Rhinolophus ferrumequinum: one gene and its partner. The protein of the gene in region 1 interacts with the protein of each later gene in a biochemical or structural test. Links are inferred from orthologs where the notes say so. Each region holds a gene or a part of one and is shown on either strand. Other genes may lie near its edges.

Evidence for each region.
Region 2: the proteins of ATF4 (region 1) and CREBZF form a complex in vitro, tested with the Homo sapiens proteins (2 studies listed by IntAct, with this or other methods). The link is inferred for Rhinolophus ferrumequinum from reciprocal best matches to the Homo sapiens genes ATF4 and CREBZF.

The regions. Positions count from the first base shown.
Region 1 is NC_046293.1:7,977,057-7,988,147, forward strand, and holds ATF4 (cyclic AMP-dependent transcription factor ATF-4), read right to left. Parts: upstream 5,021-11,091; 5' UTR 4,828-5,020; intron 4,255-4,827; 5' UTR 4,163-4,254; coding exon 3,937-4,162; intron 3,841-3,936; coding exon 3,005-3,840; 3' UTR 2,928-3,004; downstream 1-2,927. Other genes in the region: MIEF1 (mitochondrial dynamics protein MID51), read right to left, coding at 10,869-11,091. UniProt on the Homo sapiens protein: Transcription factor that binds the cAMP response element (CRE) (consensus: 5'-GTGACGT[AC][AG]-3') and displays two biological functions, as regulator of metabolic and redox processes under normal cellular conditions, and as master transcription factor during integrated stress response (ISR).
Region 2 is NC_046294.1:58,629,847-58,641,487, forward strand, and holds the start of CREBZF (CREB/ATF bZIP transcription factor), read right to left. Parts: upstream 5,333-11,641; 5' UTR 5,060-5,332; coding exon 3,996-5,059; coding exon of another isoform or gene 3,992-3,995; exon of another isoform or gene 3,787-3,991; coding exon 3,771-3,786; 3' UTR 3,709-3,770; intron 2,637-3,708; 3' UTR 2,568-2,636; exon of another isoform or gene 1,956-2,567; intron 1,955-1,955; 3' UTR 1-1,954.

The DNA of each region.
Region 1 (11,091 bases):
ATCCACAACTTTCCCCATCCGTCAAAGCCCAGCTCAGGCACCCTCTCCTCCAGGCAGCCTGCCTGCCGTAACCCCCACCCGGGAGTCCCTGCTCCCTCCACTGAGGTCACCCAGCCTGTCACTTTCTACTTGGTCTGAGCGTCCACCTGCCATCCCCAAACTGAGCTGAGAGCTTCCCCCTGCGTGGTGCGTGGCGCAGGGCTGCTACACCAGGGGGCCACGGAGGCAGCGTTCTATCTCCAGCCGGACTCCTCCTGGTCTCCAGACTCTGGCCTCCGCCTGCTCTTTGCCACTCCACCTGCACTTCTAAGGCATCTCAAACCACCCAGCCAAGACCAAGCCACAACCTGCCAGCATCACAAAGTTGAACCCAAAGCCCTGCTCCTCCCCTAGTTTTCCTCAACTCAGGAAACGGAAACCATCCTTCCACTTGCTCTGGCATCACCGTCGTCTCCTCTCACACCTCCCACCTGAACCTGACTTACTTGACCTTCAGAATATATCCAGGCCGAGCAGCTCTCCTGCCGTCACCACCTGCATGACCCCAGCCCGGTCCTGTCCTGGACCACTGCAGAGGCCGCTCCCCACCGACCATTCACAGGCTGCCAGAGGGACCCTCTTCAAATAGAAACCCTGCTCTGGAGGTTCCCCAAGTCATGCAGAGGACACTGTCAAGCCCTACCAGGGCTTCGAGGCCCATGCCCGGTCCCCTAACCTTGCCACTACCCCAACAGCCCCTCCAGGCTCAGTTCCTGCCGGCTTTGCCTCCCAGGAGGGCCTCCCTAAATGCCCACCTTTAGGAGCAAATTCTTACGCCCAGCACCCCGCATGCCCGTTCCCAGTCATCCCACATCAGACGTCTTTTTTATTGCCTGCCTCTCTTGCCAGAATGAGGGCAGAGGTTTTATGTTTTCCTCAGCCACTGAATCCCTAGCACCCAAAACAGTGTCTGGCACACAGTGGGTGCTCATGAATAGCTGTAGAGAAACATGAAGGCCATTCCTGAGCTCTAGGACCTGCAGCCTTGTTCCAGGGACGAAACAGGCACGAAACGCCACCAGCCTCTGGGCTCAGACAGCAGAGGGCTTGGCACCGAACCACAAACACCCCACATGCTAAGCATGGCCTGTCTGTCCAGACCACTGTCATTACCTGTACCAGCTGCCCCTGGGCCAGCGTCCAGCCCCCGGCTTCAGTTAAAAGGGTAGAATCGTAGGATCCTCCTCCCAGCTCCTAATGAGGATTATAAGCTAATAATTGGAAAACTCAGAGCTGGTCCTCAGCACTCAGCAAATATTAGCCGTAATTATTTGTGGAGAATTGGTATCTTGAGAAAGCGTCCCCATTTGTAGTGATCTGTAACACGTTAGCTCCCACGCTTGCTTTCTCTGAACCCCCAGCTTTAAGGCCAGTGTCCAGGGCCCCCTCCAAACCTGCCTGGAAGTTCTGAAGCTACATTGATTGAAAGTGTGCATCCTGGACTCAGACTGCCTGGGACTGAATCCACTACCTGCTAGCTGGGCAATTCTCCAAAACTGTTTTCCTCATTTATAAAATGGGGATGAGCTTTATAAAATGTATTTAGCATAGAACTTTGTTTTCATAGTATCAATGCATGTAGCCAAACTGACACTTTTTTAAACTAGTAAATCCTCGTGCATTTCACTGGTAGCAGTTAAGCTGCTTAGGTGGGGTGATCAGGGTGTTTTAATACCTTAGATGGGTGGCTTCCCTGCGCTCTGTAATTCTACACTTGGGGAAGAAAAAACCTCAAAGATCACCAGACGCAATGGGGCCCATGTGTGACAACCACTCCCTCTTGTGCCTGGGGCAATGTTCCCAGCGAGTCACCACTGGCTGTATTTTTCCAACAGTGAGCTGACTCGTGTCACTCTATGCTAGACGTTGGGGAGCAGCTCAGGGAAATGTGGGCCATCCCTGGGATCCAACAGTGCTTTCACCACTCTGCTCAATACCTTTCTCCGTGTACCGTTCCTGTAGGACCCGATGGGATTATGGAACCTGCTTCACAGGGGTCGTGGGGACTGGGTGAGAATGCACATGAAGTGCTTACAACGTGCGAGGCACAAATGTCACCCTCTATCCAGCCACTCTGTGGGAATCTAGGTTGCCTTTTAGAGATGGGAAACAAGACTAGCCCTTCCAAAGAGCTGGTCCCAAAGGACCCAAGAGGCGACCTGCCCAGGATGAACCCAAGACAGGAAATATCTGCCTTATCCTGAGACTGGAGGAAGTCATCGTCACGTGGAAGACCTCGGGTTGCAACAAGCAGCTTCCCAACGCCTAGGGATGGAAAGTCCAGCTGGCTGAGGTGGGCAGGGGAGCCTGGCTATCTGCCAGCCCTTGGGCCCAGCTCTGCCAGGAACTAAGCAAACTGCAGGCGTCTCCCCCAGCTTATGGTTTGTTCTAACAAAAACCAACAGTTTTTGTCTTAATGGGTTTGGGAAGTGGCCTCTACAGAACAGTAAAAGCTTTTAAGTGAAATCCAATCACTTGTACGCTAAGCTCAAGGACTGCGGGACCTTATCTGGGTATTTAATGACAGATGTTGGCACAAAGCTAACAGGTGGAGCCCAGGCTGTTCCTGCCACACCAGTTCCCCTCAAGTGAAACTTCCCTACCTTGCAGTCACCAAAGAGCTATTGTAAGATCTAGCAATTCTGTTCTGGAAAAAACACCCAGGTACCTGCTCAGCTGTGGGGGATCTGGCCCAACCCCTCTGGCTCAAGGTCCAATGTAAGACCAGTGACCCTAACCTATGGCACAACAGGGTATGAAACATTTCATCCTGGGCTCAAATATTCAGCACATTGAAATCCCGCCCTCCACCGTGGGTCAAGAATCTAGTTCCAGGAGGATTGACCAGATTATTTACAAGGCAAGACACCAGACAGCAGTTTGCCAAGTACTTTCACTACAAAATAATTTATTACAACACACAGCTTCAGGCAAGCTTCCTATGTACAAGCACAGACTACCCTAACTAGGGGACCCTTTTCTTTCCCCTTGCCTTGCGGACCTCCTCTATCAAATCTTTCAGATACTGGATCTCCTTGGCCAAGGAATCTGCCCTCTCCTTCAGAGCCTCATTCTTCTTTTCTAGCTCTTTACACTCGCCAGTGAGGGCCTCCTGCTCTGCTCTCTTCTTCTGGCGGTACCTAGTGGCTGCTGTCTTGTTCTGCTCCATTTTTTTCAGTTTCTTATCCAGCTTCTCACTCTTTACTTTTGCTGCCACTGTCTTCTCTCCAGGTGGGTCATAGGGTTTGGGGCGGGCAGAGCCACCACAGCTGGCACCTGGAGACAGCAGGCTCTTATTTGGAGAGGCCCTGGAGGTAGTGGGGCTATGCTGGGGAGAGCCCAGATAGGACTCAGGGCTCATACAAACGCCACTATCATTGTCTGAGGTGGCATCCTCCTCCTTTATGCACTGAGGGATCACGGAAATGTAAACAGTGGAGTCTGACTTTCTATCTCCTTCAGAGATATCGACTTCACTGCCTAGCTCTAAACTAAAGGAATGATCTGGAGTGGAGGACAGGGCCCCTGGTGAAAGAGGAAGAGGTTGCAGGAAGGTGAATGGGGCAACCTGGTCAGTTTCTGGTAAGCTTTCTGAAAGATGGCCAATTGGGTTTGTTATTTGGGGGGGCTCCTTATTAGTCTCCTGGACTAGGGGGTCAAAAAGATCACACGTGTCATCCAACGTGGCCAAAAGCTCATCGTGCATGGTTTCCAGGTCATCAAAACTCAATAGGGCATCAAAGTCAAACTCCTTCAGATCCATTTTCTCCACCATCCAATCTGTCCCGGAGAAGGCATCCTCTGCGAGAGATGTAAGAGGGATGAAACATTCAGCCAAATGCACAAGGCAGCAAGCCCCGCTGCCCAGACCCCCCCAGGCAAAGGACACCCACTCACCCTTGCCGTTGTCTGAGGCACTGACCAAGCCATCTACAGCCAGCCATTCGGAGGAGCCCGCCTTAGCCTTGTCACTGGAGAATCCACGAGGTTTGAAGTGCTTGGCCACCTCCAGGTAGTCGTCTAATAGACCTAGACTTTCTTCAGCCCCCAAACCCGACTGGTCGAAGGGGGACACGAAGCCCCCCACGAACACCTCGCTGCTCAGGAAACTCATCTCGGTCATGCTGCGGGGTTTTGCTGGAATCGAGGAATGTGTGTAATTCGAGGATGTCTTTGTCCGTTACAGCAACGCTGCTGCTGGGTGCCGTGAAAAACCTGAATAGGAAACCAAGTCCTATTAGCGAACAGCCGGTCTGAGAATTTCATCTTTTCACTCCTGAGGCAGGATGGCCAAACCGGAATTCTCCTTGGTTGTCCGGGATCGGCAACACGTGGCCCCAGAGCCATTAATGTCGACCTTGCCCGTTCCCCGGTCAGGCGACACAAGATGGACGCCCTTGCAGCTCGGCCGTTCCTCAGCCACAAGAGGAAGGCGCCGCATCCTTACGTCCAAATACGGCTGCAGCCGCCCTGCCCCGCCCGCCGTGACTCACACGGCCCGGCCGCCGCCCTGCCCCGCCGCCATCTTGGCCCCTGCCACGTTTCGCTGGGCACCAGGCGGAACCCTGGCGGCTTCCGAGGCCGCCGCGCGCCTCTTCCCCCCCGCGCCGGGCCGCGCTTTCCTGACTCAGGCGTGCTGGCGTCTCGGAGACACCCAAACAAAAGCCACGCGTCGCGGGCGCTCATAAAACCGCTTCCCCCTCCGCGACGCGGCCCGGCCGCGCCCAAGCAGGCCGGCCCCTCGCTCCACCATGGGCGCACGGCCAGCGCGCTCGGCCCGGTACTTACGCCATGGCTTAAGCCGCTGGGGGATGCCGCTGCAGAGCCTGGTGCTGCTGCCGCCGCTGCAAAGGCCAATGCTGCCGCAGGCACGGCTGCCTCTAATGCGCCATGGTGGCCGCGGGTCCGCGGGAGCAGAGGAGGGAAGCAGCACAGACCGGGAGCTAAGTGGACATCTGTAGGCGGGAGGAGAAATGGCCGCCGCGCCCCGGCCGCGGGTCCTTTATAGATTTTTGCCTCTACGAGGACGCCTCACACAGCAAATTCTTCCGCCGTGGTCACGTCACCGGCACCACCCACCCACTTCTTTTCATCTATCCGACGCCCTACCGTTTCCAACCAACAACTTTTGCGCCCAGGGTGCAGCTCTGAAGAGAAAGTGGGTTATTTTCAAGGTCTCAAAAAAGGAAAGACGCACTACTTTACACAGCTTCTAAGATCAAAGAGTCACTGTTCCCTCTGCGGCGGGGGAGCGCGGAGGGATCCACCAGACACGCCTGCCTTCCGGTGTTGGCTGAGGGGCGGGGAGAGAAGCCTTTCATCCCAAGGAAGGTTTTTATTGTGAAGTCGGAGCCCGCCTGGTTATCGCGCGAGATGCCGGCGCAGAGGGCGCTCGAGCTGATTGGTCAGGTATGGTGAGTCATATGTTTCTCGTGTTTTTATTGGCTCAGGCGCTGAGGAGGGTGGGCTGTTCGGTGAGATTGCCCAGGGTCCGCGCGGGAAGAGGTGGGTTCGGCTTGATGCGTATCCCTCCCGTGGTCTCCTGTCTGTCTGCCCCCTCTTCTCCGTGATGCTCCTCTGTCTGCAGTGGCTTCGGCAGCCTGGCTGGTAGCTGGCCATGACGGGTTCTAACCCAGTGCCATGGGGGTGTCAGGCCCCAGCTTCTTGCCGCCCTCAGTGAAGCCCCGAACTACTGACCAGGTTGAGTCCGGAGGATGAAACCAGGCAAAAGGAAATGTCATTTTGTGTGCGATTTCATCATATGCAAGCCCTTCAGTGGCTGAAGGGGAAGTCTGAGGACCTCAAGGGAAAGATCATCTGATCCATGCCCGCCTATCAGAAAAGGCTCGCTCTGCATCGTTACTCTGAACTCTGTAGGGCCGGGAAGATGCTTAATCCTGTAGGCCAACCTGTTACATTTTTACATATCCATTCTCCTAAATGTTTGCTAGTTTATTAAAAGTATGCAGTCATATCACAGGGGAACGTCTTTTGGTTTATGAAGTTCAGTTTCTCTAAGAACAGGTAGAGATTTTATTCAACTGGGATCTCTCACTCGAGGGTCGTTTCAACAAACTTCCAATTCTGTAACTCCCAGGCATGGCCACTTCCCAGCAAGTCCTCCGAATGACCCTGTGATGAAGAGAACCCACGCCCACTCGGGGTTCCTGTGTTTGGAAGCGGCAGTCCGTGTAAGGGGGCCAGCAACTTGCTCTCTGCTGGGGAGATGTTAGAGTGCTCTCTCTGCCCTCTTCCAGTCCCCTCCAGTCAGGCACCGTAGGGAGAGAAACCTTGAGTTTCTGCCTCCATTCATTTCAGTGGCCATACAAATACATTTCTGTGAGGGCTGTGATGTCAAAACATTTGGTGAGCATTGTCCTAGACAACTACACACCATTCATTGACTTCTTTCATCTAGCTTAGCAATTTCTTTACAATGGCAAACTGAGGACAAATGGGGAGGAGGTGTCTTGCCAGAGCTCCCAGTGAAGGCAGCATGGGGTAGGAGTCAGAAGATAGATTTTAGGGGCAAACCCAAGAGTCCTGGCTCTTCCATTTATTAGCTGAGACATTTTGGTTAAGTGACTTATCCTCACTGAGCCTGTTTCCTCATCTGGAAGATGAGGCTGATGGGTAGTATCCTTATCCTTAGAATGAAGTCAAATCATGTATGTGTAAAGCACTGAGCAAAGTGCCTGGTACTTGATTTAAGTGCTCAGTATACAATTACTATTAGAACTCGGGACTTCTGACCCCGCCCTCCCGATACTCCCTCCCCATCGCCATTACATCGTCCTGCATCCTCAGAGGACACCTATTATTTACTGAGAAGAAACCATAACTAAACAACTGGTACATGCAAAGCATACTGGATGCTGGGACAAGTGTGATTTTTCTTTCCCGTTGGAGAATCGCCAAGTGTCAGGATACACAGAACTTGTCCAGTCTTTCAGCGCAAAGGCAGTAAGAAGTCCTAAGCCACTGCATAAGTCCTCCAAAGGCATAACTAAGGACCCACGGGGCATGGCCTCCTTCTACTGTACGTCACTGCCTCCTGAGGGATGACCAGGCAAGTAGTTGAGAATTAAAGAAGTAACACTGCCCCAGTTTTGATGCTCCAGAGGTCATGGAAGAATGACTCTTATGGCAGCTCGTCCCATCCATTCTATTATGGACACCTAGATCAAGCACTTCAAAAGTTCTAGCTGAAATGAAGAACCTGTACCACTCCTGTAGGAAAACGTTTCATACCACACACAAAAGTCAAAGCTGTTGGAAAGGAGGCTTTTATTTTCTTCTTCCCATGCTGTGGAAGGACATCAGGTTCCCCAGCTTCATTTCCTCCCTCAATAGAAAAAGGACAGCAGTTCTCTGGGTCTCAGGGCTAAGCTGCTTCTATGGAGCTAACCAAGATAGGACAGAAAGCCTGCTGACTGATTCCAAACCTACCAGCCAAACATATCAACTGCTACTGAATGGCAAGCAAGTGACTAGAGGGCAAGTTGTGGACTTGGCCTCAGGGACTAGGAATTTAAAGACTAAAAGGTAAGTGACTAGAGGGCAAGTTGTGGACTTGGCCTCAGGGACTAGGAATTTAAAGCCCAAAAGGTAATCAAAATGAAAAGGTCAACACCACACTGTACGCAGTTAACCCCAGAACCCACGTCTCTGGTATTTTGGCCACTTAGAATCAGCAGTGTCTAACAGGGATACAGCCTCACAGCTCTTGTCCTAAGTGTCTCTTACCATTCTTTTTGGCCTTGAGCTTTAGCAGGAAGGCGAGAGTGCTAACAAATCCTGTGAGAGCAGACATTCTCAGCCAGGGTCATCATCTCAAGGAAGATGTACCAGGGCAGAGGACTCTGGACACATGCAGGAACCCCTACTTACAGAAACGCCTCGGGACCTCTCTGGGGGCCTTTTGATCCTGAAAGTGATTCCTCATCAAAACCATTTCCGCTCTCAGCCTGAGTGGGGTACAAGGGAGCAAACTCAGCTAATCGGGAGGGTGAACCAGTGGACTACTAGGGGCCGAGACCCAGGGGAAAGACTATGGCCTCAACACAGCTTTTCCAAACATGAGCTTCAATTATTTTATTTGGGGGAAGAAAAAAGAAAAGTCACAACCAAGTATACAAAAATACTGTTGTCCTGAACTCAATTTTTAGGAAGAGGCAACAGGGAGAACCAAAATACACTTTGGAACTGATTAGTTTTTCAAGATGATGAGTGTATTTTTTAAGCATTAGCTAAGTGGTTTGCTAACCTAGATGGTGCAAAAAAAAATGTCCAGATGGAAAAGTAGGACCAGATGCTATTACTTCCAGAAAGGTGCGAGTTACTGAGTAGAAAGGCAGAATGGCGGGGAAAGGCACGACATCTTTCCCCAAAGACGGGGGCAGGGCGGGGGGTGGAGGTGGGCAGAATGTTGCCCTCTTCCATCCAAGAATCTCAAAGCACTTGACTGTTTTCCGTATTTTCCAATCAGGCCTGCCCCGTCGGTCAGCAAAACCACCAGGACCAGGGCCAGGAATTCCCACTGCTTCTAGTTCTGCAGACTTCTAAAAGGTTCTTGCTTGTGACATGGCAAAGTTATGGTTTTTGGTTTTGTGAGACATAGTTAAGAGACAGAGATGCCCTTAGAAAGATGTTCTTTAAGAGGAGATAAACTCAAATCACGATTACACTTAGCTTTGAGAATTTGGGACTTGCTCTTTAAAAAGTCTTTTCCTTTTTGAGGTCTCCAATGTTTTATATGGAATTTGGTTGGAGACACCAGCTTGGGAAAATTGTAGGTTTTATAATACACTAGGAAAACCAACCCTTCCTGTCAGTGAAGAATAACCCATGCTTTTCCAACACCTTCTCAGCCTGCCCGTCCCTCCCCTCTACTGATGTCATGCCAGGCTCCACCCCGTCCGTACCCTCTACACCACTCACCCAGGGCAGCACTCAGTCATATAGATTTTTTTAAAATTCTAGTTTGATTCTGATGAACAGCCAGGGTGGAGAATCTTTCTCAGGGTTCTGGGCTTTGTATTTTTCATTCTCTCAATACCTTCCTACAAGTGAAACAACTGAAGCACTTTAAGAAATCCTTGCATACACAGAAGAGGCAGGAAGACTCTCCTAATATAGCCAAGGTTGACCCTAGTTCTCAGCTTCCTAAGCCATGACAAAAGGGGACAGGCATCTCTACCCTAAATTCCTAGACAGTAGCTGAGGTTTCAGTGCTATTTAAAGAGTTATTTCATGTCGCTGTCATTGGGAAGGAATGAGATAGCTGCAGAGCTTCACCAGAATCTCACTGATGGAGAGGTAGTAAGAATAGAAAAAATAAGACTTGATGGGAGGAGAATAAAATACTGGATGGGCAGATCGGAAACAGAATTATCATCAGGCTCTTGCCACAAACAAAAAAAAACCACCACAAAACGAGAAGATGCACTGGCATTGTGTATTAAACACTCCTCCCCACCTTCAGGATACTTTTTACATTGCAATAAATAGTGCAATTTTAGCAGCAGGAAACAAGAAGGAACGGAGGAAGTCCCCACCGCCCTCTCATGTTTTCTCCACGTGCTTGCTTCCTGGGTAGCACCGGTCTCCCCAGCTGCTGGGTGATGGGGTGGGGGGAGGGTCCTGCACATGTTTGCTTGCCCTTGACCTCTGGAGGTGCCCAGAGAGTTCAGCCAACAGCCCTCTCCCACTCCTATGGCAGACTGCTGGGCCTGTTCTTGCTCTAAGGGCACATTCTAGAAAGACAGGGCCTGACAGGGGAGAAACATGGTCACTGAGCCACAACTGGTGACTGGATTTTCCAGGCCACATTCAGCCGCCTGTCAGCCTCCCTTTAACCTGGACCGCAAGGGTGTGTCCTTGAAGGCCTCGTCTTAACTGGCAGTCAGGCAAGGAAGCGGGTGAACGAGAACGCTTGTGCAGAGGTGCTGCCCTTGCAGGCCCTTCCCTCCCTCGTGACTCCTGCACCCCGTGGCGTTGGCCTGGACCAGCCACGGATGGGGCGTAGAGCTCAGGCACACTGACACTCTCCCAGGTCCCCATGGCCACGTCCGCTTCCCCCACCCGGCACTCGGCACTCTCACTGATGGCCGCTAAGAAACACAATCTCTCCATCACGTTGCACCCAGTTCAGCGTGAGCCCTCAGTCCTGTGTGGGTCAATACCAGTGTTCCCATGGAAGGCCTTCTGAGCACTTGGTCAGGTGATGGGGGGATGGGCTTCTTTTCCAGGAACCTGGGGCAAAGGCCAGCTCTTCCACTTTCGCCCCAGAAACCCTAAATACTGTCTGAGTGCTCTGTGCCGAGTTCAGCCTGGACACAGGCAATCACAACTTCAGTGACATTTCAACTAAAAGGCAACATCTTGATTAGGCAGGTGTGCTCCAGAGAAAGGAGCAAAACAGAAGGCGTGAACAAGAGGGAAAGACAGAGAAGACACCGAGAGGAACAGGCCAAAAGGCAAGGCAGGGCAGACATGAGCAGAACCATGGGCCGCCTGCAAAACACCAAGTGGTCTCGACAGCTCAGGCTACTGCTCCACCTTTCAATTCATTCCAGAAAAGTCAGCCTGGAGCAGGGGCAGGGGAGGAGTAAGGAGCACAGTGTTTGGTAACAAAAATAGAAAGGGTTGGGTTTCAGAAAATAGGAGATTAAGAGATGTCATTCTAATCAGCATGAAGTGACCAGGGCGGTGACCAGCAAGATAGGAGGCACCGAGCGACCCAGCGAGGCACCAACTACGTAGCCAAGTGTTTCTAACGCAGAAGCCAGGGCCTGACCGCCCAACCCCAACTCTGGCCATCACCTGCCCTACGTCTGCAGCAGCACCTCCGGCTCAGACAACGAGCAATAGAGAGTGTACCCTAACTCGTCGATTTCCTCAGGGGTGAGCTCTGCAAATAAGTTCACCTTGGGGTTGAGGGCACTGGGCAGGACTCCGGCCTCCAGGTACCGGATGAGTCCCCTCAAGGCCTGCAGGAAGCGGTCAGCCAGCATATCTGAAGACCAGTCAGCCTCCTCCTGGGCCAAGTGG
Region 2 (11,641 bases), on another chromosome or scaffold:
CACTAGAGAAATTTTAATTTATATAAAACAGTAGAAACTAGTATACCATTCATTAGGAACCTCAAAATATTCAAAAAAACATATATATATGTCAACAACTCAGAGAAAGCTCAACAAGCCAAAACCTCAGAATCCACACATCCTGGGATTACCCTGAATTGCATTTAACCAACCACACATTTAGTCATAAATCAACTTTTTCAAAGATATACAAGTCAGTGCATCTATTTAAAAAGACTACTCTTTATAGCTAAGGACTTTACATTACTTTCATATTCTACTCGGCAAGCTCTGTCTGTACTTCAGATTCTCTCTCACGTTCCAGGAAAAAACACAAACTCATGATATGCCTTGTTATCACTGATGGATTGTTCATATAATTCTACTCTACTAAATATAATTCCATAGAATGTGCTCTTGATTATGTAAGAATCTAATACTCCTTGATGAAATACTATAATTCTCTTCTCCAAGGGTTACAATTTTTTAAAAAGTATGCAAAGAACTGAGTATCACTCCCATGAAAGACAAAAAAAAAAAAAGTATAATTTTGTTCCAAAATTAACTTAGTCTCATGTGTTTCTATTAAGTCTTTCAAGGATTCCAGAGAATCTTTTCATATCTCCATTTCTGGAAAGTGAAATCTGGAAAGTGAAACCAGTATAGAAGTAATTTGGGAACTTGAAAATGGCATTCATTTTTTTCAGCAGATGCCAAATTTTTGACCGACATGGCTCCCACAATTACTTTGTTACCATCAGTCCAGTCAGTTAACAGGTTGTAGGAAAAGATTCGTTTTTGCAGACACTGCTAAGCTGTTTAAAGAGAAGAGAGAGAGATTAATTTAGTGATTATAAAATGCACAAATATTTAAAATATTTTGAACACTTTTTGTCGGCTTATAGGACAAATGTGTGACTATATTTTAACAAACGTGGACATTTTCGTTAAGTCTGGTCAAGGAAGTGCAGAAACAGTTAAGTCAATATGATAGAAATAGTAGGTCAATATGATGTGTTAGTTCAATTAATGTATGAATTGCTGTCACCATCAGAAGACATTAAAAAGCTATAATCTTTAGTTCTGTAACATTTTGCCATAGTGGCTAAATTAGGGGAAAAAAAGGTTCCCCAAATACTAAATTGTTTTTTTCCATTACAGTAAATAAAGCCAAACCGTAAATTTCAAAACACTCCATATTATATTCCAGAAATCTCCTTTATGCAACTATCCACCAGAACACAATTTTTTAAAAATAGTAAGACAACAGTTTCATATTAATCATAACTTTTTTAATTAACAAGTAGTGAATAGGACACTTTTAAGATATTCTACTACATACTGAAATAAACAGATCTATTGTAAATTCAGAAACTCAAACATTTACAGTAAAATGTGCTTACACATAAATGTGACCAAATTTATTTAAAGCCCCTGTTAGATAGGTCCTAAATACATGCAATACCATGTAAAAACAAGACCATGAAGTTGATGTAAAAAAATGACAAAATCACTGAGTCACCAAAATTAGGAAAAAAAAAGAAAATGAAATGGAAACTAAGAAGAGACAGTTAAAACATAAGGAACCTAACAAAGCAGCTTTAAAATAGGTGATACTAATCTCCATTTTCAAAAGTTCTTAATCAAGTATTTCCAAAAACTGCCATTTATAAAATGACATTCTAAAAATCTACACTTGGAATTTCAAAGCAGCCCAATTCAGAAAGCTTTGACTACTGTTTCTCCCCAGCCCCAAACTTCAAATAATGCAGGAAAAGCATTGCCATTAGGAAGAAAATATGCCAAGGAACAGTATAATTTTTAGAAAAACGCACTTACTGCTTCCAGAACCTTTTAAGACCCACAGTCAGCATTAACAACAATTATTTTTCCTATTTTCATCCATTATTTTCCAATGTCATGATAGAGATGAATAAATTCTTTGAGCCCATAACTGAAAGATCAACAAACCTGGTTTTATTATGACACCGTATTTTTGTCATTGGTACTGCACAAAATTATATACAAAGAAATATATACAAAATGTTCAAGTATTAATTAAATTTCAATTCAAGGCTTCTGTTTCAAAAAGCTACATTTAACATATTCCATAAAGATAGCACAAATTAGTCATTTCAAATAATTTTTCCAACTACTTTTGGTTTATATATATAATTCAGTAGGCACTAAAACTCCATGCAGCTGCATTGTGAGGGGCTTGCTCCTGCACTTAGGTATAAGCAGGTTCATCACTCCAGGTTGTGAGTTTGGCTACTACCCATTCATGCTCAAGTGCAATAGAAGATTTTACAAAATATGCTGTGATGCACTGGAAACCAGAGACCAAGTTAGATCTCAAATCGTATTATCTAGCAACAAAACATTTACAGTTGTGCAAGAACAAGGATTCCATTTTCATAACCAAATAACAACAAAATAAAACATTTTATGTGTAAGATAACTTACATCTTTGGACTGCTGGAAAATACTTTTTAATTATGAACATTTTAAAATAAAAGACAGCAGAAGCCCTGATATTACCTCTTTTTCCTCATTTCTTATACTACCTTTTAAAATAAAGCAGGAAATGTGGCCAGCAGCTGGTCCCGTCTCTTCTGCCCCAACAGCTGTATCCACTTTAGCACAAAGAAAAACAAGGATGCTAAATACGTATATACTTTATCAAACAGTGATGTTTCACAAAGAATTTCTTATTGTCTCTTACACTGAAGGACACCGTAACTCTATTTATACAACTGGACAATAGATAACAGAATACTGCAAAAGAATATGTCCCATCTTTGGGAAAAGTGTCAATCGTGTCATTAGTAGCCAGAACAACTCAATTTGTAAAATTATTTTTAAATAATTTTAAATAGGACAAATATATTTGAAATAAGATTCTTTGTGAAGCCTCACTTTACATGTTTTCATTCATATTTCACAACCTTCAAAATCTTACATAAAGTTAACCTAAAATTTTAATACAACAAAAATAAAGGTGTTCAACAATTTATTCATACTCAGTGATAGGGTAATCACTGTGCTGGTTCTCAAAGAAACATTTCATTAACCATTCTGATTCCTCCTCCTATTAACTAATACAGGAGTCTGATATGCATGTTAATTTCCAAATTTTTTCTAATGATGAGATATCTGTTAATCTGAATATTGTATTTCTAGATCTACTGAAAACTAAAAGGCATTCTTGAATATTTAGGAGATTTCTGTCATCTCCAGCAAAATAACTATCACATTGGTGCATGCCCCAAACACTTATTGTCAACCTCTGAAAAGTTGCTCTAAAATTGGAATTCCAATTTGCACCTGGTACAACTCGGAACTTCCATTCAACTTCACCTGTTTCACTGTCTCCAAACTGTATTTCTATTAGCAGCTTTCAGTGTACAGTTGGAATCGATGTCATCCAAGGCCATGTCCACACTGGGGACAGAAGAGCTAGGTACACGCAAGTCTGAACAAGGGGACACATTAACAGCTATTTCAACCAGAAGAAGCATCTTAAATACATTATTTGACCAGCACAAGTCTGTTTCCAGGGTGGACAGGGCCCAAATCAGATTCCCCTCCCGCCTTCCAAAAAAGAAAACAAAAAAATATCTCCACACACACACAAATTGAGATGTTGCCCATTAAAGTAGACTAAGCAGCAGAGCATGAGCGTTACGTGAAGAGATGGATCCTTACCAGGTTGTGAGGCGGGAACGACTGTTCTGTAACCCCTACAACGGAGCCTGGCAGGAAGGAAATCACCTAAAAAAGAAACTGTCAGAGAGATTTAATAGTCACATGTTATCATTAGGAGTTGGTTACAGTGTCACATTCATGCTTTTAGCTAAACACTTAAAGATTCAATATTACTTTTTTCCTCCTCTGAAATGTGTCCAGTGAAGATGTCCCACTAAGGTGTTTTACATGGTGTAAGGGAGTTGAAAGGGGTAAACGCGGATAAAGAGCAGATTACTTGACCCTACATTTTAAGAGAAGACGACGCCTTCCGGGCGCACGCCGAGCAGAACTCCACCGACACCTTATCCTTGTCCACATGAAGACACACTCCTCCCGCCGCGTCGTCCTCTTCCAGCAGGTCCTGCTGCTGCTTTCCCACCGGCAGAGCGTAGTCGTGGTCCCCGGCGGGCGAGTCTCTGAAGAGCGAGGTGGTCAGCCGCAGTCCCACGCCGCTCAGCCGGCTCAGCAAGCGAGCCAGTCCGGTCTCGTTGGCTAAGACGGCGCGTAGGTAGCGACTCTCCTCCTGCAGTGCTTGCACGCGCTTGCCCAGCTCCCGATTCTCGGCCCGCAGCTCCTGGTTCTCGGCTGCCAGGCCCCGGACGCGACTCTCCAGCCCCATCACGTACTCCTTCTTCTTCAGCCGATTAAGACGCGCAGCGGCCGCCGCCGCCTTCCGGGGACTCTTTGTCGCCGCCTGGTTGTTGTCGTTGCCGCTGCTGCCGCCGCCTCCTCCTGGGGACTTCCTCCGCCTCTTTTCGCCGCTACCACTGTCACTGCCGCTGCTGCAGCCTCCGATACCGTTTAATAGCCTCTGCAGCAGGTCAGAAAAGCGCTGCATCTCCGCAGCCGCGGACTCGTCGTCGTCGTCCCCTCTCCAAAGGCCGCCGCTATCCGAACCTCCGCCGGACGAGGAGAGAGGCCCGGGCGAGCTGAGCCCGGGTTCCAGGTGCCAGTCCGGTTGCCGGGGGTCCAGCAGATCCGCCAGTTCCAGCCCGGACAGAAAGTCCATGTCCTCCGTCTCTTCCCCGGGGACGCTGGCGATCGCCTCCTCCTCCATCTCCTCCGGCGAGGGCGCGCGCACGACCACGCCGCCGCGGCCCCCCCTACCGTCCTCCAACTCGCCCTCGTCGCCGCGCAGCTGCTCACGGCCGGGAGATCTGGCTACCGCCGTCTCTTCCTCCTCTGCCGTCGCTGCCGCCCGGGACAAGTCCGGGGGCAGCGAGCAGGTGGCGGCTTGCGCCGGGCTCTCGCTCCGTGTTGGGGAGTCGCTGCCCGAGGCCGCCAGCAGTTTGGTCAGGCTGTGCCTCATGGGGCCCAGCGGCGGGCCCACGTAGGCCCCGGCCTCTTAGACCGGGCCTCGCGGGCCCCAAGGACCCCAGGACCCAGCGCGGGTAGCCCGTGAGCCGGCCAGAACGAAATGACGAGGAAGGTCCGGGTTGCCTCCTGCCCCTCTCGGCTGGTCGACCCCCCGCGCACAGGCGCGGGGGAAGGATGGGAGATCGAGGCCGCGAGGCCCGGCGATGACTCGACCGCGCCACCCAGACAACGGCCTGGCCGGAAGTCGGTCGGTCTCGCCCCAGCCCCTCCCACGGCCTTTCGCGCTCCACCAGGCTCTAGTATCGCGAGAGTTCAGGGAATGCTGGAGTGGGAGTAATTCCAGCTCTCCAGTGATGTCATAGTAACAGCGGCAAAAATAACAACAAAACCACGGGTTTCTTAAAAAAGTGGTCTGCCCTCTTTGCCCTCACTTCTCAACTCTATTCTGGCTTCCACTTCCAGTGAAACCGCTCTCGCTCAGAATTGATCTTTTAGATACCAAATTTGTGAATAATCTTCATCATCCTGGATTCCTCTGGAATTTAAGACTGGTGATCAGAGCTCCCTCTTGAAATTGCTCCTTTCCCTTCCCGTCATAATACAAAATCTTTTCATTTCAGTACTTCTAGAGTACTAGAAGAAATAGAGGTAAATAAGTAAATCATTCATATATAATTTAATTTTTCCAAGATTTTCTTATAAAAACTTCCCAATACACAGAATATGTGAAAGGATAGTACAATAGCCACTCAAATTTAACAATACTACCCCAATACTGAGAGTCAACAATTCAACAATTAACATTTTGCCATTTGCTTTACCTGCATATAAATGTAAAATAATTACTAATTTTGCTGAATTATCCCGAAGTTGCAGACAAAACATACCACCCCAACATACTTCAGTATATATCTCTAAAAATAAAGACATTCTCTTTCACAATCATACTACTATTATCAGGTCTTGCGAAAATGAACAATTATTTGCTAATATCTATTACTCAGGCCCTATTCAAATTTCCTCAGCTTTCCTCAGAATAATCTTTTATAGAGAATGTTTTATTTTGAGCCAGGGTCCAGTCAAGGGTCACTTAACTGCATTTGGTTGTTGTTATTGTGGATTTTCACACCATTTCTCAAAGTACATTAGTCCCTTCCACTTTCTACTTTTTCTTAGTATTGGCTTTTTGAAGATACCAGTTTGGTTGTTTTGAAAAATGCACCACATTCTAGATTTGTCTGTTTCCTCATGATGTTGTTTATCTTAATCTCACAAGGTATTTGAGATTTGAAGCCATTCACAAATACATTAGAAACAAAACAATTCAAATTTTAAAAAAGTAAGGCCAATGAAAATATAGATGAAATAGAAAGATAAGGAGTTCCCAAAGAGAAAGGTTAGTATTGGAATAGCATGAACATGATATTTTATACAGTTACTCAAATTGAGCTAACAATAGACTAAGCTTCCTGTTAGCCCAAATAAAAAAAGGAAACAAACTTTGTTTGCTCATAAGTACATATCATAAGCAGCATATTAATCCCTTAACCACTTTCCAGTTCTTAGGTCTTAAAGAAACTTCTCAGTAGGATACTCAATAAAGTAGCCTATAGCTTCAACAATAACTACTTTTGTATGGCTGTTCCTTAGAGAGATACAAAGCAGGTTCAAAGAAAGCTGCATGCTGATTGGTCCCAAATATTAGAACAGTACAAAGCACAGCTTATGCTTCAATAAATATTTGTTGAATAAATGAATGAAGAAGTTCCCCAGTTTTGGCTGAAAGCATAATGCTACAATTCAACTAATGAAAATAATTCTGCAGGGGGCAAAATAAGTATGACCTATGGTATCTAGAAGAATAAATAAAGGGCCTCCATGTCCTTTTAACCTTCCTACTAGAAAAGGTTTTGCTAAAGTAGAACACAGAACAGTTCTAGGTGATATATGCTCTGGACTGCCCATCCAACTACATTTTCTCTTTAGGCAAATTCGAAATCAGGGTTTGATTTGTTTTATTTTTTCCAAATTACAACAGTTTGGTTTAAATATACATGGCTTGAGAGCCTCTCCAGTTGGACTAAGAGAAAAGTGGAAAACTGCAAGAGAAGGAAGTTTTTACAATCTAGCCTCAGAAGATAAAAAGCAAATGAAACAAGAGTAAAACTCCCAGAAAATTGTCTCCCCTTCATCATTCCTCCCTTTTCTTTTCCTTATTTTTCTCACTCTCTCCTTCTTCACAACTGTTTTGTTTTTCTTTTTCTAGTTATAAGGATCATTGCAAAAAAATCAAAAATGTGTAAAAATGTAGATGGATCTTCCCCTCCACATGCTTATTTTTTATGACTGTCTAGAATTCCATTTCATGAACTGGGCAAATTTTATTCAATTAGTTCCTCATTGATAGCACTTAGGTTATATTGAAATTTTCACTGTTATAAACCACATGATAATGTTGTACAATCATCTTGGTTCACTTATCCTATAACCCTTAGGATAAACTCTTTGAAGTAGAATTTCTATAAATACAATTTTTATAAATAGACCTTTATTACCTATGGAAAGATATTTCTCACCAATGGTGTATGACAGTATTTAATTCTTACACACTCAACGACAGTGGACGTGTTCTTTTTAAAATGTGCCACTCCAAAAATAAAACGTGGCATCTTTTTGTGTGAATTTCCATTTCTCTGATTATTAGAGAGTTGAATGTTTTTCATATGACCAATTGATTTCTAATGTGAACAGCCTTTTCACATCCTTAGCTCATTTTTTCTTAGAGATGGGAGAAAATGTTTGTCAGGGAAAATGTTTGTCTTTTTCCTTCTTGATTTATAAGAATTCTTTACATTATAAAGAAAATATACCTTTGTCTCTTACATGTGTTCCAATTTTCCCCCAGGTGATCAAATACCAGGGGAGGGAAGGGGTGAAATTGCTTGTTTTGCTATCATTTTAAAATAATCTATTAAAATTTTCTTCATGGTTTCTAGCTGTGATGTTAAGCCAAAAAAGGCTTTATTAGCCTAAATAATACTAATATTTACCTATGTGTTTTAGAACTTCTTTAATTACTTATGTTTATATTACTAAGAGTTTTTTTAACAACACGAGACATAGTTTATTTCATTTAGATTCAAATGGAATTCATTCTGGTACAAAATGTAACAGGAATATAATTTTTCAAAAAGTGATCTGCCACAATAAAATTTATTGAACAATTCACACTTGCCCCACTTATTTCCCAACATGTGTGCCATATATCAAATTCTTACATGTAATTGGATCTATTTCTGGTCTTTTTCTTTTATTTCATTTGACAGTCTCACCATTCTGGAAGTAAAATCACTCCATTTTTATTGTAGTTTTATAATATATTTAATATCTCATAAGACAAGTCCTTTGTTAGTCTTACTATCTCAGAATTGTCTATCTATACACGAATATTTCTTCTTCTGGATAATGTCATAATATTTTCCAAGTTCAAAGAAAACAACCTGGAATTTTCATGGAAATCACATTACATTTATTAATTGATTTTTCCCAGTTATGTATGTATTTTTTGCTATTGGACTGGATTATTTCTTCTTTTATGTTTTCTAAATGGTTATTGTTGCTACATAGGAAAACTACTGATTTTTTTGTTAAATTTTTAACTGACTACCCCACTGACCTTTCTTAATAATTTTCATTTTCAGCTTATTCATTCAAATTTTCCAGGTACACAATTATATCACCTTATTATATATAATGAAAATGTTACCTCCTTTGCAATACGATAATGAAATAGCATTTCCAGATTAATGTTAAATAATCCTCTTGATAGCCAACTTCCTTGTTTATTCCTTACTTTTACAGGAATGCCTCTAATGTCTAGCTATTGATTTGAGATGGGTATTTTTATTAGATTAAGCTCAAATTGCAGGAAACAGATACCAATCCAGCTATTTTAAACAGAGAGAGATGTAACAGAATGCGGGCTCACACAGTCATTGGAAGGACCGGAGGAGTGAACATTAGGCTGGGCGATCAAGAATGCGTCTCAGTACAGTGTGGCCAAACAGGCCTGTTTAGGAACAGTTGTCTCTGCCCCAGTTGAGAAAGTGAGAAGTAGAAAGTGGGAATGTTGGCTTCAAGAGTACTGCTGCCGCCTAAATTCTCAACCCCATGTATTAATTATCTATTGCTGCCTAACAAGTTACCCCAAACCTAAAAACAATCATAGAACAACAATAAATATTTGCTTATATGTGGCTTAAAACAACAATAAACATTTATTATCGCTCACAGTTTCTGTGGACGGAAATTTGTAAAAACCTTGGCTATGCAGTCTGGCTCCAGAATTCTCATGGGATTTAGTCAGATATTGTCTGGGGCTGCAGTCATCTGAGGGCTTGACTTGGGCTAGAGAGTCCACTTCCAAGGTGGCTGACAGGCTGGTCCTCAGGGAAGCCTAGTTTCCCCTCCATATGGGCCTCTCCACTGGCTATATGAGTGTCTGTGCTATGTAGTGGTTGGCTTCCCCCAGAGTGAATGATCCAAGAGACCAAGGAAGTAGTAGCAACGTCTTTTATGACCTAGCCTCAGAAGTCACATATGATCACTTCTGTAAGTATTCTATTGCTCACACGAGTCAGATCTTATTCACTGTGGAAGGGTACTACATAAGAATGTGAATACTATGACAGTATGTTGTTTTAGACCCCTGAAACTAATTTTAAAAAGAAAAAAAAAGGAATCATTAGGCACTATCCTGGGGGCTGGTTATCATATCCCATAAAACTAGTGAATGAACATTGGGATGTTGTTGCGGAAAAGCCCAATGTCTCCAAAAATGTCCTTGGCAGCAACAACAGCCAAAGCAAAGAAAAAGGGCCCCTCCCTGCCTCATTTGCATCTTCCAAATATAACTACAGAGGAGTCTGCAAATATAGTTTGCTTTGTGTTTCTTTGTTTTAGCTTTTCCATTTCTGCAATACAGTAAAGCACATTAAAAGCACATTAAAAGAGGGATTAAAATAGATGATGAGTACCAATGTATCAAATTCTCCACAAAGACCATGACTTTATGCACCAACTATAGCACCAACACATACGGGGTCTGACAATGAAGTTCACGAACCCATCCTAGAAAAAGTGCTACATACCTCATTGCTGAATATCACTATGGTCTCCTAGAAGTACTCCCCTTGGGAAGCTATGCATTGATGCCAGCGCCTAGTCCACCCTTCAAAGCAATTTTGGAACTCTTGTTCTGGAATGGCCATCAGAGCTGTCATTGTATTACCCTTGATGTCCTGAATGTCTTCCAAATGTCTTCCTTTCAATATTCCCTTTATCTTTGGGTAAAGAAAGAAATCATTGGGGGCCAGATCTGGTGAGTAGGGAGGGTGTTCCAATACAGTGATTTGTTTACTGGCTAAAAACTCCCTCATAGACAGTGTCGCATGAGCTGGTGCATTTTCGTGATGCAAGAGTCATGAGTTGTTGGTGAAAAGTTCAGGTCATCTAACTTTTTCATGCAGCCTTTCAGCACTTCCAAATAGTAAACTTGGTTAACTGTCTAGTTGGTACAAATTCATAAAGAATAATCCCTCTGATATCAAAAAAGGTTAGCAACATTGTTGTAACAAGTTCACAAACTTAATTGTCAGACCTCCTACATTTATTGGATTTTTTTATAGCAGAGAATTGGAGCAGAAATGGTAGAGAATGAAGCTGAATTGGGGTTGGTGCTGTGTTGAATGGATACAGCAGAAGAATAAGAGTGCTATTGAGGACAGAGTGCTCATTTTAATATAGTTTGCCTCTTCACTCATGAAATATAATCTGTAAAGAGTAGGAAGTAAAATCATGAGAGGATCTTGTGACTGGATGAAAATTGAAGACTCAAGAGGTTGACAGTGTCTAGGATACTACAGGATTATGTTTGCAAGCCGTACATATTTGCAAGGATTATGCTCAATTCCCAGTGTGCTAGTTGTATTTCCGTTCCTTTGTCCTCTTCTAAGGAAAGCATTTTTGAGTGCAAGTGAATGAGAGCTACACTAGTGTGTACTTATCTGGAATCTGGTTTATTTTACTTTTAAATGACCAACATTTGTAACCAACTGAAATAGTAACAATTTACTAGTATGCCTTAACTAATCAAGCCCCACAGTGGCTGCCACTGAAGTTGAGAATTGCTGCTTTGATAGGGGAAGGGACAGCGGGTGTAGAAGTTTGGGTGTTAGAGATATGGGAAGGTAGGAGCAGAACTTTTCATGTTCTGAGAGGAAGGAGGAGTCCACGTCGCCTGTGAAAGTTGTCTCATCTCTCACGGCAGCCACCCCAGAACCAGAAACTGGCAGAGCTGCTCTTGCTTCCCATTGCCAATTTCAAAGCATTTTCTCTTCCTCCCTCCTTCAGAAACCTCAGCCCTTTTAATTTTCGTTTTTTAAAAATTGAAAATTTACACGCACACATAAAAGTAGAAGAAAGAGTCTACTGAAGCCCTATATATTCTTCATCCAGATTTAAGAATTTTATCAAGATTTGCCATACTTGCTTCATCCCTTGCCTTCTATTGATG